Pelodiscus sinensis: one gene and its partner. The protein of the gene in region 1 interacts with the protein of each later gene in a pairwise test. Links are inferred from orthologs where the notes say so. Each region holds a gene or a part of one and is shown on either strand. Other genes may lie near its edges.

What was found.
Region 2: the proteins of YAE1 (region 1) and CEP126 interact in a two-hybrid assay, tested with the Homo sapiens proteins (2 studies listed by BioGRID and IntAct). The link is inferred for Pelodiscus sinensis from reciprocal best matches to the Homo sapiens genes YAE1 and CEP126.

Annotation. Positions count from the first base shown.
Region 1 is NC_134712.1:166,988,156-166,996,013, forward strand, and holds the start of YAE1 (protein YAE1 homolog), read right to left. Parts: upstream 3,022-7,858; 5' UTR 2,715-3,021; intron 2,694-2,714; exon of another isoform or gene 2,542-2,693; intron 2,523-2,541; exon of another isoform or gene 2,389-2,522; intron 109-2,388; 5' UTR 38-108; coding exon 1-37. UniProt on the Homo sapiens protein: The complex LTO1:YAE1 functions as a target specific adapter that probably recruits apo-ABCE1 to the cytosolic iron-sulfur protein assembly (CIA) complex machinery. May be required for biogenesis of the large ribosomal subunit and initiation of translation.
Region 2 is NC_134711.1:304,295,906-304,303,439, reverse strand, and holds the start of CEP126 (centrosomal protein of 126 kDa), read right to left. Parts: upstream 3,066-7,534; coding exon 2,908-3,065; intron 78-2,907; exon of another isoform or gene 76-77; coding exon of another isoform or gene 68-75; coding exon 1-67. Other genes in the region: ANGPTL5 (angiopoietin-related protein 5), read left to right, coding at 3,088-3,249. UniProt on the Homo sapiens protein: Participates in cytokinesis. Necessary for microtubules and mitotic spindle organization. Involved in primary cilium formation.

The sequences.
Region 1 (7,858 bases):
CACTGGGCCGGATGACTGCAGCTTGCATCCACGACATTGCAGCAGTAATAAGGATTCCAGTATATATGATACAAACTAGTACTGTGAAAATCTGAGCCGTTCTTCCTCCTGAGCATCAAGTTAAAACCACAGGCTTTACAAGTACAAGTTTTGAGGAAAAGTAACTTCAGTAATCAGAGATTCTAGTTTTATGTTTTTCATATAGAACCTTACAAGGTCATAAATTCAGCCATCTCAATTTTTTGGTTGTTTTTTCCAATAACTGAGACACACATATAGGCTATGTCTAAACTACATCCCTCTTTTGAAAGAGGGATGTAAATTAGGCAGATCGAAAGTGCAAATGAAGCGGGGATTTAAATATCCTATGCTTCATTTGCATAATCACATCATAGTGTTCTTTCGAAAAGTGACACCGCCGTCTAGACTTGGTTCTTTCAAAAAACCCCCTTTTTCGAAAGATCCTGTACTCCTCAAAAAATGAGGCTGGGCAGCTGGGGGCCATTTGTAGGGGCGCATGGGGCAGCTTTGTGAGCCACACTTGCAGGGGTGAAGAGCCGCAGGTTGGCCACCTCTGGTCTAGTGGTTGACTAGCAAAACTGGGGATCCAAGAATCCTGGTTCTTGATCAAAGTCACATACATCTCCAAGCTCTCATTTAATTTATTTATGCCTCAGTTTCCTCATTTGGAAAACACAGATAATACATATATTGCCACCTCACTTAATTATCGGGTGTAAGGAATTAATGTTTGTAAAGCACTTTCAAATCACAGAATGGAAGGTGATATATGAGTACCAAATATTACAGTTTAATTAAACCACTACTACTATATGACTTATTTTTATTGGAAAAACTTAAATAGTCTAGTAGCACTTTAAAGACTAACAAAACATGTAGTTTTTAAAGTGCTACTAGACTATTTGTTGTTTTTAGAAGTTTTTCCTGTTACAAACTAACTCAGCTAACCCTCTGTTGCTTTTGTTGGTCCTTGGGTAATTTTACAGCAGTTTCCAAAATGGGAAAAGCTAGTAAAAATATGCAGGGGCAGATGGAAAGAGCATGTAAATAGGAAGAAAATAAGTCCAATACAGGTCATATTGCAGCAGCTCCTGTCCTGGCTCCAGAGCAGAGGGAGCCCATTTTGGGGTGGGAGGGTGGAGGTAGAGCAGAGTGGGGAGGTGGGAACAACAGGGACAGGGTGAGGGGCAGGGGGAGGCAGGCCTCAGGAATCTGGTGACCAGCAATTAGAAGGATAGCACATGGTAAAATTCTCTAGAGGTGGCACCAACACTCATATTTGTGTCTGGTTTTTCCCCACTGCCAGTCCCCAGGGACCACCTAATGCCACAAGTTGGTCATGGAGCCCATGGTTTAGCTCACAGGGACTGTATGAGGGATCATGAGGCCTTTGAATTGTCCACGTGGAGTGCACAGTGCCTACAGCCAATGTGGGGGCGCTTCTGATGCTACTTGCCATTGATTTATTAAATTTGCAGCATAGAACATTTGAAACAATACTATTCACTGAATAATCAATGTGAAAATCATAGTGGAAACTGGGGCTAGAACAGAATCACTTTGTACCCAGCACTGTGTCTATGAAATACCTAATGATACAACAAAACCGAGTAGGTCCCATGGCACTTTAACACAAATATGTATATAGTATCATGAGCTTTCCTGGGAAAACCCATTTGGCCAGATAAGAACTGTGACGGCGCGTTGGGGGGGTCCCCCGTCTCCTGCACCCCGAAATGGCACAAACAGACTGCACCAGCCGGTGGAATAGAGGACGTTTATTGCCTCTCCAGGATACAGCACAGCACAGATGTAATCTGGTCCCAGAGCTGGGCTAGGATGCCTCAGGCCCCCTTGAGATGGGGGGAGACTGGGCCCCTAAACTCTAGCCCCTTTCCCTAGGCTGTCTCCTCCATGCTCCCAGACAGCAACTAAACTCACTCTCTTCCAGCCCTGCCCCCCAGCCAGGGCAGCCTCCACCTTCCTTTGTTCCTCTCCATGGTTCAACCGGTTTGGCATCACCTTTGCATAGTGAGGTTTCCCCTGCTGGGTCTTGCTCCAGACAGCAGAGGTCACCACAGCCCAGCAAGTACCCCCCCTACGTCACAAGAACCGTCTGACCAAGTGGGTTTTGCCCAGGAAAGCTCATGATACTATAGATACTAAAGCGCCACAAACCTACCCAGTGTTAGAGGAACACGACTACCCCTCAGAGACGGGTGACACAATTCCATTCCCTCTCGAATCAGCAAAAATTAGACCTTGCCGCGCAAAAACAAACTCCTCCCCTCCCCCCCCCCCCGAGCGCACTGTGACACAGGGTCCAGACACCCCAAACAATAAGCAGCCGTGACCCCTGGGCAACACCTGAAGGACAGAAACACGAATCCCAGTCCAGGGCCCCGATCCCCAGGCTGCTTCTGGGACAACGCAAGAAGCCAGCCTGGCAGGCGACGGAAGTGACCTTTCGCTCCCTCCAGCCCCTCCTCGCTCAAACCTGCTGCCCCCGCCCCGGCTCACCGCTTTCCTGGCCGGGCTAGCGGCCAGCTACCCTTCCTCGCGCCGCACCTCGAGCACGGCGCGCGGCCATTTTGACTCAGGGCAGGCTACCCTCACACCCTTTGGAAGCCTCGTGGGAACAGCAGCCATCTTTGCTAAGGGAGGCCTGTTTTACACCCCCCCCCCCAACTCACCGCATGGGCGGAGGGTGTAAGGAAACGGCGGCCATCTTAAGAGAGGGCTGCCTGCCTTCAACCCGCTTGCGGCAACGGCGGCGGGGGGGGGGGGGGGTCGGCCGCCATCTTTAGTAAGGGCGCACTCGAGGCTTAAAAGTCGCGGCCGTTGGCGTCGCCTTTCTGCTCAGCACCGAGATCGAGGCTGAGGCTGCGATACCCGCGCCCCGGCCTCCCACGGGCTTTGATAAGCCTGGGCTGGGGGTGTGTCGGGGAGAAGTAACTATGACAACAGGGCGTTGCCAGCGAGCGCTCGCCCCGCCCCGCCCTTTTTGCGTCCAAAACCCAATTACTCCCCCCCTCCCCCCCACGGCCATGAGCACCGTGTGAGCGCGCGAGTGCGCCCAGCGCGGCTGCGCGAGGTGGTTCTGGCAGCCCACGCGCCTAGGCCCGCTCTCCCGTGCAAGCGCGTGAGGGGCCGAGCGGGACGCTCACCCTGCGAGCCGGACGTTGCTGTGCGAGCGCGCGCACGCGCGCGCGTGTTTGCGCAGCTCTCGCGCGCTGCCCAGAGTCTGGGCTGCAACATTCCGCTCCGCAGTCCAGCCAGGCAGGGGGCAGCCGCGCTTCCCATTGTACAAACCCGGGAACAGACAGATCATGACCCATCAGCGTGGCTGGGCACAGACCGAGACACTCTGGCTGGCCTTTCCCCGCTCTGCATAACCGTGAATCATCATAGCCAGAGAGCAGGAGAAATCCTTTTTCAAAAGAAAGGGGGTTGAATGGAAGACTATCCAGGAACTGGTCTGCATTACTCAGGTTGATCAAAAGCAGCTTAACATTGACCTAATTGTGTCAGTATATACAAGGGGTAGGCAAAGGGGCCTCTGCAGGCTGGACTCAGCCCACCAAGGAAGTTGAACTGGCCGTGGAGGCCCTCATCACTGCCCCCAGGCCACTCAGGGTCTGGGGGAGAGGGGGAAGCAGATGGAGTCTCCTTCCACTCTGCGAGGGGTGCAGCTTTTAAGTACTGCATGCACCTTGCAGGATGGGGGCAGGAACTTCACTTGCTCCCCCCACCTCCAGGCCTATCAAGGTTTGGGGGTGGGGGAGCAGTGAAGTCTCCTGCCCTGCAAGGGGCTCAGGACTTAAAGTCAACCATCAGCTGCTGCTCAGCTGGTGGTTGACTCTTAACTGCTGCACTCCCTTGCAGGACTGGGACAGGGAGCAAGAGACTTCCTGGGGGGTGGGGGGAAGCATGCAAAGTTGCCTCCTACAGCCAGGGTCATGGGTCCCTAGAGTGTGCGTGCCTCCCCTGACCCATCAGGGTCTGTGGGTGGGGAAACTCAGAAGGGTCCTGGCCTTGCCCCTTCTGCCAGAGGCCCCACCCCTTCTGGGGCAGCCTGGGACTAGTTCAAAAATTTCTGAAGTGTCCCCCGGAAAAAAATTATTGCCCACCCCTGGTATATACATTACAGGCTTGTCCTGCTGCTGTAAGGTGTGTCTACACGGCACCGTAACTTGAAACAAGATATGCAATTTGAGCTATGCAGGTTGTATATCTTATTTTGATGCTCTTTTGAAATAGCTTATTTGGCCATTTGGCATTTAGGTAGATAGATCCAAGTTTTAGGTATAGTGCAGGCCTGTGATTCCCTCCTGAGCTTGTTCCCTCTCTAACCTCAGCCTATTTATTTTTCTTGTACACTGGTGATGATGGACCTTTCTACTAGCCTGAGTAGTTCAGTGACCTATTGTCTAGACCCTTTCTCTCCAGCCCAGTCAGGGAGGATGGAAGATAGCCAGCAGGTTAATTTGATTGTCATAGTCCTAATGGGGTTTTAATTACAACATCTCCTTGCACAGCAGGCAACACCTTACATTGACCAACAAAATGATTAAAATTGAATCCCTGGACTCATGACATATATTATCCAACTTTTCCATAGCGCCTTCTATTCAGGAATCTCAACATGTTACATAACCTAACCAAACCACACAACACTTCTGTGAGGAAGGTAAAGGATACTTAGGAAACATTTCACTCATCTTTGTGAACAATGACCTTGCTTAATAGCACCTAGCACCATTCACAATAGTTTAGAATGAAATATCCCATTGAAACTAGAAGGAGTCTATAGAGATGTGGAATTTAGTTATTAGAGCTGGAAGTTTGCCTGGACACCAGGTCTATCACCCTAGAACATAAGGACGGCCGTACTGGGTCAGACAAAGGTCCATCTAGCCCAGAAGCCTGTCTGCCAACAGTGGCCAGCGCCAGGTGCCCCAGAGGGGGTGGACCGAATACAATGATCAAGCGATTTGTCTCATGCCATCCATCTCTAGCCTCTAACAAACAGGCCAGGGACACCATTTCTATCCCCTGGCTAATAGCCTTTTATGGACCTAACCTCCATGAAATTATCTAGCTTCTCTTTAAACTTTGTGTTTAACTTTTGTCATTACACTATGGTCTTGAGTATCAGAGGGGTAGCTGTGTTAGTCCGAATCTGGAAAAACAACGAGAAGTCCTGTGGCACTTTATAGATTAACAGATTTATTGGAGCATAAGCTTTTGTGGGCAACGACCCACTTCCTCAGATGCATCTTGATTTACTATGGTCTTGATTTACCAATGACTCAAAGAGAGCAATGTTTCCTTCTGAATCATCGTAAGTATTTGTTGCCTCACCTACATTAGCTTTCTGGTCACCCATATGCTGACCCATTTGTTTTGTGAGTCATAGTAGGAAACAAAAGCTACTTCCTCTTTCTTTTCTATATTCCTTTATTAAATATCTAAAATTAGGCATTTACCTTATTTGCCTCAATTTTCTACCATTTCCCGTCCCAATGTTCCCAGTACAAACATTTTAAAATGAAGGGGAAATTGTTCTTTCCCCTTTTCTTCATCTCACAAAAAATAGTGAAATTTGCCAGTCTATTTTAAACACAGGTAGGGCATGTCAACACAACAGGGCTAAAGCTGGAATAAGCAACGCAACTTGAGCTATGTCAATTGCGTAGCTGAAGTTGAAACAGCTTATTTCGGCAGGAAGCTAATTTAAGGATGTTAAAGAGTCATTGCATTTGCTTATCAGATAGTCAACAGGATAATCAATTAGTCGCTTCCTCCCCCTTGCTGCCTTCATTAGATAGAGGCAACAACGGGAGGAAATCTGGGGTAGTGCCGCACAAATGATCTGGACTCCTCAGCTGACCCTGGGCTCTGCCCGTTTGAAATGCCACAGCAGCGTTTCAAAGGGGCAGCGCCGCCCTATTGACTAATTGAATAGTCGATGCATTTTTTCATCGACTATTCGATTAGTCCAATACTTAATACTTGGACTAAAATCCTTAGTCCAAGTTAGAGCACTCGTCTTCCAACTTCCCTTATTCCTAGTATAATGAGAGTTACCGGAGTTGTAGTAAGAAGTCCTCCAGCTTCACAGTATTTTGACATTGTCAAAATAACTGCCTGCTGTGTAGGCACGAACTATGTTATTTCGGAATTACATCAGGAGGAGCAGTGGGGAAGGAGCAGAATGCTGGCAGCTCCTTTGGCTGCCAAAGCATTCTCAGCCCTGCCCCCCAGATTGCAGAATTGTACGCACACAGCCAGTGGAGGGGTCGGGGTTGGTCAGCAGGGAGTCTTTCTGGTTTGCTATGCTGGCTAAAAATATTTTGCTAGTATGGCATACTTGTACCACTGTTTATTCGTCACTCAACTTCCATATGAGGAACAAAGTAATTCTGTATTATCAAATGCAAATATGTTTACTGCCCCATAATGATAACACTAAATGACTAAAATTAAGAGGCCAAGTGTTAAGTTCTTGATGTTATTGGTTAGTGGGTCCAATGGAATCTAATCTGGGGCTATGTACACACAGAAAGGCTGCAAGGAATAAGAGTATGTAAGGGCATTACTTTAATTTATACGTTCATACTCCCTCATTAGTTGCTTTTCTTTCTGCTTCTCATGTATGAATCATGTTTAAGTTTGCCTCGTGTTAAGCTAACACATGGTAATGTCTTTAGCTGTATGTTATAAAGGAGATGAAAAAAGGGGTTTGCAATGGGAACTGTGTTGTGACCTTAATGATGTAGAGAGATTCCAAACTGAAGGTGCTATTGGATTAAAATATCAGAATGTCATGTGCCTGTAAATTAAAGTCCATGCTCATGTGTATTATTTATATATGAACTATCATGGAAGATTGGTGTTCAATTCTGCTTGGGAACTGCAGCAAAAATGCATGAGTGAAATTGTCTAGAGATGACTTAGGGTGTTTGAAATAGCATGAATAACTTAATTCTCTCTGCTTAAGAGTTCTCGTATTCTATTCAAGAACATCCTTTCAGGATTTTTAGCAGAAACATTGCCATTTTAATAAAAAGAGTGACTCAGTAATCAGATAAGCTGTTTACCAAAGTGCTACCATTGTTTTTTCTAATGGGATGAGAGCAAGCAATTTATAGGTATATTACAGATGTGCCGATGACTACTCTGTCTCTCCATGGAATGCTATGTTAAAAGAAAATTCTTAGACTATACTAAGGCAGTGAAACAGTGTGTATAGTTTCTTGGAAACCTGAAATATTTATCCGTTTCTCACACCCACTCATTTGACAATGTCTGCTTTCCTGGATTATCTAAACATCACCAAATTTCAATTCTCAAAGGATGACCCCTGAAGTTTGTGTGTGAAAACAATAAGACTGTGTCTAGATTGCATCCCTTTTCCATAAAAGGGATGCAAATTAGACACATCGCAATTGCAAATGAAGCGGGGATTTAAATCTTCCCCGCTTCATTTGCATAAACATGGCTGCCGCTTTTTTCCGGCTCGGGGCTTTGCCGGAAAAAAGCGCCAATCTAGACGGGATCTTTCGGAAAATAAAGCCTTTTCCGAAAGATCCCTTATTCCTTATTTTAAGAGGAATAAGGGATCTTTCGGAAAAGGCTTTATTTTCTGAAAGATCCCCATCTAGACTGGCGCTTTTTTCCGGCAAAGCCTCGAGCCGGAAAAAAACGTCAGTCATATTTATGCAAATGAAGCAAGGAAGATTTAAATCCCCCCTTCATTTGCAATTGCGATGTGTCTAATTTGCATCCCGTTTACGGAAAAGGTATGCAATCTAGACACAGCCTAAGTATATAC
Region 2 (7,534 bases), on another chromosome or scaffold:
TTTTTGATCCTCTAGTAATGCTTCACGCTCTTCTTCTAAATCTCTCTCAAGAAGAAATTTCAAAGTTCTGACCATGACTTTATGTTAAGGACAAATATATATATACATATAAAATCCTTGAAATTTCTATTTAGTATTCTTATTAAGTTTTAGACTGATTGCAAATGAATTTGCAGTCTTAGCCACAGATATAAAATTATACTCGTCATGGACATAATAACCTATTTGCATGGATTCTTTTACATGACTTGAGCGTTATGGACTTTTTTGAGAATATGTAATCGTTATCCATAACTAAACTAAAAATGATAATTCTTCAAATTAGGCAATGGCTTATCATAAAGATATAATTTTAAATAAGGTACTGTCTTAATATACATACATTAAGAATGCAATTCCATCTCTCAATTTCTATCACTCAGGCTTTGCACTCTTGGTTTATGATGGTACCACACAGAATTATAGTTTTTCTATTTAGAGCTGAGGATACATCATTCTTTATGATCTGATCTACCAAATAGCAAGGTTATCAAATGGAAAATATTTCTTAAAATAAAATTTAAAACCTCCAAAATGATAATTGTTTAATCTGTAATGTAATGAGTAATTACAATTCAAAATTCTTCAATATCTTGCTTAAAATACATACATATACAGTTACTGTCAAGCAGGATCCAATATTTGCCTTGTCTTAACACAGCGTCTGTTAGTTTCTTTTGGTTTAGAGACTGGGTGTTTCTCTTTGTCTTTTTAAAACCAAACATGCCACCACTTAACAAAAATAAATAATAATCAGGGCTCACCAAGTGGTGGCGAGCCCTGCTCGCCAGCCGTGCGGTTCTGCGAGCTGCGCATGCACAGATTGCGCTGCACATGGGCAGATCGAGTGGTGCTGGCTGTGCCAGCTTGTAATCTACTCGCCATAGGCAAGTAGATTACACAATTTGTCGAGCCCTGATAATAATAATAAATCATAATAATATTTAATCAGATATTTCCCTTATGCTTAGCTATTATAGCAATAGGTGCAGCAGAAATACAATTACTAGGCACATAGGTAATACAGAGTCTTAGAGGGGTAGTTGTGTTAGTCTGTAACTAATAACAGTTAAAAAAACAACACTGGTCCTGAAGCAAGTAAGGGTATGTCTACACTACCCCGCTATTTTGAACTAGCAGGGTAATGTAGGCATACCGCAATTGCAAATGAAGCCCGGGATTTGAATTTCCCGGGCTTCATTTGCATAAGCCGGGCGCCGCCATTTTTAAATCCCGGCTGGTTCGAACCCCGTGCCGCGCGGCTACACGCGGCACGAACTAGGTTGTTCGAACTAGGCTTCCTAGTTCGAACTACCGTTACTCCTCGTGGAATGAGCAGTCAATGGAATTTCCATCAACTACATGATTAGTCAATAAGGGGTAGATGTGGCGCTCGCTATCCCAGCTGCACCGCTGCATTTTAAATGTAATGAGAGATGCCTGTGGCTCTTACTACATTTAAAAGGCAGAGGCGGAGCACGGAACTGTGGCCCTTTTGCCTTTGAAATGTAACAAAAGTCCCGGCGGGCTTTTCCTGCTACATTTCAAAGGCAGAGGCATATCAGTTGGGACCTGGTGCGAGCGGGGACTGCTTGGCTATGTCTGTATTGGAAGATTCTTGCACAAGAACTGCCATTCTTGTGCAAGAACCCGCAGAGCATCCACACTGCTCGCCCGCTCTTGCACAAGAAGATTTACAGTACAGCATTGGAAGACAGGGCTTCTTGCACAAGAGCTACACTCACTCTTTTCTAACAAGTGTAAGCCCTCTTGCACAAGAGCTGGTACAGAGGCAGCAGGGGGAGGGAGGGGAGGAGTGAGGAAGCGAGTACTCAAGTAGTGACTCGACTACCAGATAAGTATCCCTAGGGTACAACCCACTTCTTATATGCCATCTGAAGAAGTGAGTTGTGCCCACGAAAACTCATATACTATTTATATATTTTTGTTATTCTCTAAGGTGCTACAGGACCAATGTTGTTTTTTTACAGAGAACAGGGAAACAAATTTTTCAGCCTGGTCTACCCTGGGGGCAATGTCAAAATAAGGAATGCAACTCCAGCAACGTGACTAGCATAATTGGAGTCAACATACATTAGTTCAAGTTTCTAAGGCATCGCCACTACTGGGGGTCGATGGGAGAAACTCCTCCTTTAGCTTCCTTTACTCTTTTCACTCCAGTGGAGTACCCAAGTCAACAGGACTGCAATCAGTGGTCGATTTAGCTGGCCTTTAGAATTTTGGTCTGACCCAGCATGGCTGTTCTTATTAAAGGAGTTCCAAAAACAGAAAAAAAGTTCAGTCCCCACACGGTTTTAGATACTTTTATTCTCTTTGATGTTAAAAGGCTAAATCTAAAAAAAGGATATTTTATGCCAATGTATCTTCTGTAATATTACAATATATTGATGCAAGATGGTCAAAATTATCTCTTCTAGCTTCCAAATCCAATAATAACCCTATGTTGCCACCATACTGGAGGCCCTCACAGGGACTGGGTATGTGGGGTACCCTAACAATGCCTCTTCCTATAAAACCACTCAGGAAGATAAGCTCATCCATTGGGCCAACCCCATCCACATCAAAATATGAGGGCAACTGAATGATCCATGCAGGGGTGGCACTCCCACCTATTCCTGAGGCAGCCACCTTGTGGGACAGCTAATTGCACATCCCCAGTGAGCTGCCCCACGGGGCCTGCCCTCCTATCCCAGCCTCCCTCCTCCCAGGGCCCATTCCGCGCACCTCCTCTCCTTCTTTCCCAGACATCCTGTCACTGGGGCTTGTCTCCCCCTTTTCCAACACTCCCGGGGGTGCCGCCTGCCCTGCCCCCGCAGAGCCCCGCTGCCTTGCACCCGCGAAGGATACGCGCACGCGCTGCCCGCGAAGGTGCCGCCGTGGCACTGAGGCGCGCAGTCCGGAGCCGGGCGAAAGAGGCTCCTCCAGCCGGACCCGCCCGGCGCAGCAGAGCCCGGCTCCCACTGTGCGGGGCTGACGCCCCCCGCGCCCCTCACGCCGGGCTCCATTCAGCCCCGCCGGACCGCCCCCATGCCGGTCCCTGCCTGCCTGCTGGGTCAGGGCTGGGCGGGGGCGCCCATCGCTCTGCGGCTCGGCCGCCCTGCCGCCATCTTGGCAACCACGGACGCCGCTTCCTTCGCAACGGAAACCAGGGGCAACGCGAGGGGAGAGAGAGGAACTGGGGCACCGTCGGCAAGGGAGACGGGGGCGGGGCCTACGTGGGGGAGGAGCCTGGGGCCGGGACGGGAGAAGCGCCTGGGAGACAGGGATGAGCCAGGGAAGGGGGCGGGGCTGGGAGTTGCGGAGAGAAGTATGTGAGGAGCAGGTTGCTCCTCCCACCGGCTCAAAAGCCTTGAGCTCACCATCCAAAAACAAACAGGTTTTTAAAAAAATACTCACCCGGGGATCTTTTTATTTAGAAAAAAAGAAAAGAAAACAAACCGGAAAGCTGAATATCATATGAAGTCACATGACTCTTGGGATTGGAGCTTTACAAAAAACACCAAACACAGGAGGACACATTCATAGATAAAGGTTCACCGTTTTGCCAACTCACAATTGTATTACAAATCTTGTGATGTTTGTTGGTCTTCTTAAAGCTCCACCTCAAAGACTAGCTAGTGTGGCCAACTTTCTAATGATTCTAAACCAAACATCCTTGGCCTGCCCCCTGTCTTGCCCATTCCTCAAGGACCCAACCCTGCCCTACTCCTCCAAGGCCCCCCCACTCCTCTCAGGGAGATATAGGGTGGGCACTAACAGTTGTGTGCCCCCTGAATGCCACTGGGGGTAGAGCCAAGGGGCCAGCAGCCAGAGACATCCTGTCCTAAAGACAGTTCATCTAACTTTGAGGGGCTCCACACTGTGCATGGGACTAGCAGGTGGTGGGAAGCAGATCTCCACCTCCCTCTGCTTCCCACAGCTGGTGAGTGCAGAGGGCAGTTCCTCCACTTTCCTTAAGCCCTGTTCCCCAGGGATGAAGATTAGCAGGGGGCCTGACACTGGAAGCAGCGATTGGGTCCCCCAATACTTAATGGCAGTGGCGGGAAGCAGAATGACCCAGCCCTAGCCTGCTCTGCTCCCCTGACCCCTAGCTGTGTCGCTGGGAAAGGAACTTGGTTGAACTGATGGCACCTCCCTTTGCACTCACCAGTGGCAGAGAAGTGGAGCAATGTGACTTAGAGCCAAAGGAACAGAGTGGGCTTGTGTCGGATTGCTTCTCCACTGTGGAGTACAGGGCAAAAGCTGACTGCTGCTGTTGGTGCCAAATCCCCCATTTTGCCCCCTGGGCCATGTTGTTCAGCGGGGGGGGGGGAGAGAAAAGGGTGAGCTTGAGGAAAGAGTGGATTAGAGGAAGAGAGAGGGTGGAGCAGGGATGGGGAGGGGTGGAGCACAAGGTTGGGGAAAGGATGGAGTGGATGTGGGATGGGGATGGGAAGAAGTTGGGCCCTCCCCAGTAGGGATGTAAGTGAGTAGTCAACTATTCGACTACTCGCTTCCCTCCCTGCTGCTGCTTTTGTATCAGAGGCAGCAAGGGGAGAGGGGAATGGACCCAGTGCTGGGGGGATCCAGCTTAAAAGTTGGTTCCCCCAGCACCGTCTCTGTGGTGCCACTTGCCCCATGCCACTGTCTCTATCAGGCATGAGCTGGGACAGAGCCAGGACCATTGTGTCTCTACATTTTAAATGTAGTAAGAGCCACAGCGGTCCCAGACTGACCCCAGCCACAACTGAGCTAGACTTGTTTGGTTTTGGCTTGCACCAGCTCCAGCAGAAGCCCCTGTTCATGGCGGTCCAGGTTGGCCTCAGGCAGAGACTGCTCCAGCAGCAGTCCCTGTCCACACCCTGCTTGGACCCCCTGCAGATAGGGGCTGCTGCACCTGGTGAGAGCCAGGACCAAGCAAATCTGGCTCAGTCCTGGCTCTCAATGGTCTGGGACCTACCTCCCCTGCGGCTCTGCAGTTTAAATGTAGTAGGAGACAGGCTGCCTGCACGCCCAGTTTCTACTACATTTAAACTGCAGAGCTACAGCAGGGGTAGCTCCTGGACCAGTGCAAGCCAGCACAGAGCCCTTCTCTTATAGACATATTGTGTGGTGGATACAAATTGTATCGACTGCACAATTAGTCAATAACTCATCTCTTAGCATACCTACCCATTCTAATAGTGGCATGGGGGAGCAGTCATATGGGGGCAGTCACATGGCCAGCGGTCTTGAGTCCCTCCTTAGCAGTCACCAGTAGGTGCAGGGAGTGTTTCGAGCTAGGGTAGGGATTTGGACTCCGAGAGGGAGTTTGGGTGTGGAAGGGAGCTCAGAGCTGGTGTAACCCACATACCTAGTTTGGGTCTCTGTCCCATGAAGTGGCACCTAGACCACAGCAACAAATAAAAACAAGAGACCTCTACAGTATAGCTGAAAGGGTAGAGGCTCCTATACTAAGCTTCCCAGGTTCAAATCTATCTGGTGACAGTTACACTGGGACAAGAGAGTTGGGGTGCACAAGAGCATAAAATGGCCATACTGGGTCAGACCAAAGATCCATCTAGCCTAGTATCCTGTCTTTCCACAGACAACCAAGGAAAGGTGCTGTAGAGAGAATGAAAAGAACAGATATTCACTGAGTTGCTTGTTCCCAGCACCTGGGAAACAGAGGCAAGGGTCACCATCCCTATCCATCCTCACTTACAGCCATTGATGGACCTATCCTTCACGAATTTATTTAGTTCTTTTTTGAACCCTATCATAGTCTTGGCCTTCACAACATCCTCTGGCCAAAATTCCGTACGTTGACTGCACATTGTGTGATAATATATTTCCTTTTGTTTGTTTTAAACTTGCTGTTTATTCATTTTATTTGGTGACCCCTAGCTTTTGTGTTATGAGGAGGAGTAAATAGCTCTTCCCTGTTTACTTTCTCTACACTGGTCATGATTTTATAGATCTTTAGTGATATCCCCGCTTAATTGTCTCTTTTCCTAGCTGAAAAGTGCCAGTTTTATTAATCTCTCCTCATAATATAGAAGCCATTCCATATCTCGAATCATTTTTGTTGTCCTTTTCTGAACCTTTTCCAATTCCACTATATACTTTTTGAGATAGGGCAATCACATATGCACAAGCTGTGGATGTACCATGGATTTATATAGAGCAAATATGATATTTTCTGTTTTATTATCTATCTCTTTGTTAATGATTCCCAACATTCTGTTCACTCTTTTGACTATCACTGCACATCAAGTAGATGTTTTCAGAGATCTATCCGCAACGACTCCAAGATGTCTTTCTTGAGTAATAACAGCTAATTTAGACACCATCATTTTATTTGTATAGTTAGGATTATGTTTTCCCATGTGGACTATTTTGCATTTATAAACATTACATTTCATCTACCATTTGGTTGCCTAGTCACCCAGTTTTGAGAGATTCTTTTGCCAACCAGCTCTTAATACATTTAAAAAGCAGAGTCGCAGCATCTGGGACTGGGCACGAGCCGGGAATCAGTAGAGATGTTTTACGTAGAGAAAGCTCATAGAGTTCACTCTCTTTATCAGTGAAAGAGAAATATGCACAGCTGTTCTCCACAAGTAACAATTATTTATACTGGGCTTGACAATAAATGTATTTTATTAAGTATAAAAAATAGGATTTAAGTGGTTGCAAGTGATGACAGACAGATCAAAGTGAGATACTAAGTCAAAATATACAAAACATGCCAGCTAAGACTAATACACGAAGAGATATTGTAACATATCATATTTTCTCACACTAGTCCTTATTTCAGGTAAAGTCCTTCAGGACAGAGCAGATCTTTTCTCTGACTTGGACCCAGCTGCTTCTCTCCCTTTGTTTCCAGGTCTCTTCATATGTCCTTTTGTGATGGGGATCATTCTGTGAAGCCAGCTGAAGACCATCATTGTTTGCTTCCCATTCCTTAAATAGAATTTCCACAGGATGGGGAAATCTTTGTTCCATTCATCCACCCCAGTGGAAAAATATCAAATTCAGGATGGATTCCAAAACCAAGTGGCATAGTCACACGACTTTATAGGATCAACCATAGTTTAGGCTTACGGGAACAACAAGACTATTCACAGATCATTGCTGTGAGCTCTGGGCCAAGTTCCTTAAGTACCATTAATGGCTCTCACTAGCAGATCTAGATTAATAAACAGCTTTACACTTCATATTTCTAACTTCACATACAAGTGTCTGCTGTTGCCTGTGCCAGAAGAACACGAAAGATAAACGCATACAAATAGAGTATATACATTCAGGCTATGTCTACACTCGGAGCTTCTTGCACGAGTAATATGCAAATGAGTATAAGCGTGGAATATCGCCGAGCCTCATTTGCATACCTAACGAGCAACCATTTTTTTCAGAAGAGGCTCTTGCACAAGAAAGAGCGTCTACACTGCCCCTTTTTGTGCAAGAAAAACCCTCTTGCGCAATGCCGTTACACCTATTACTTTTCAGG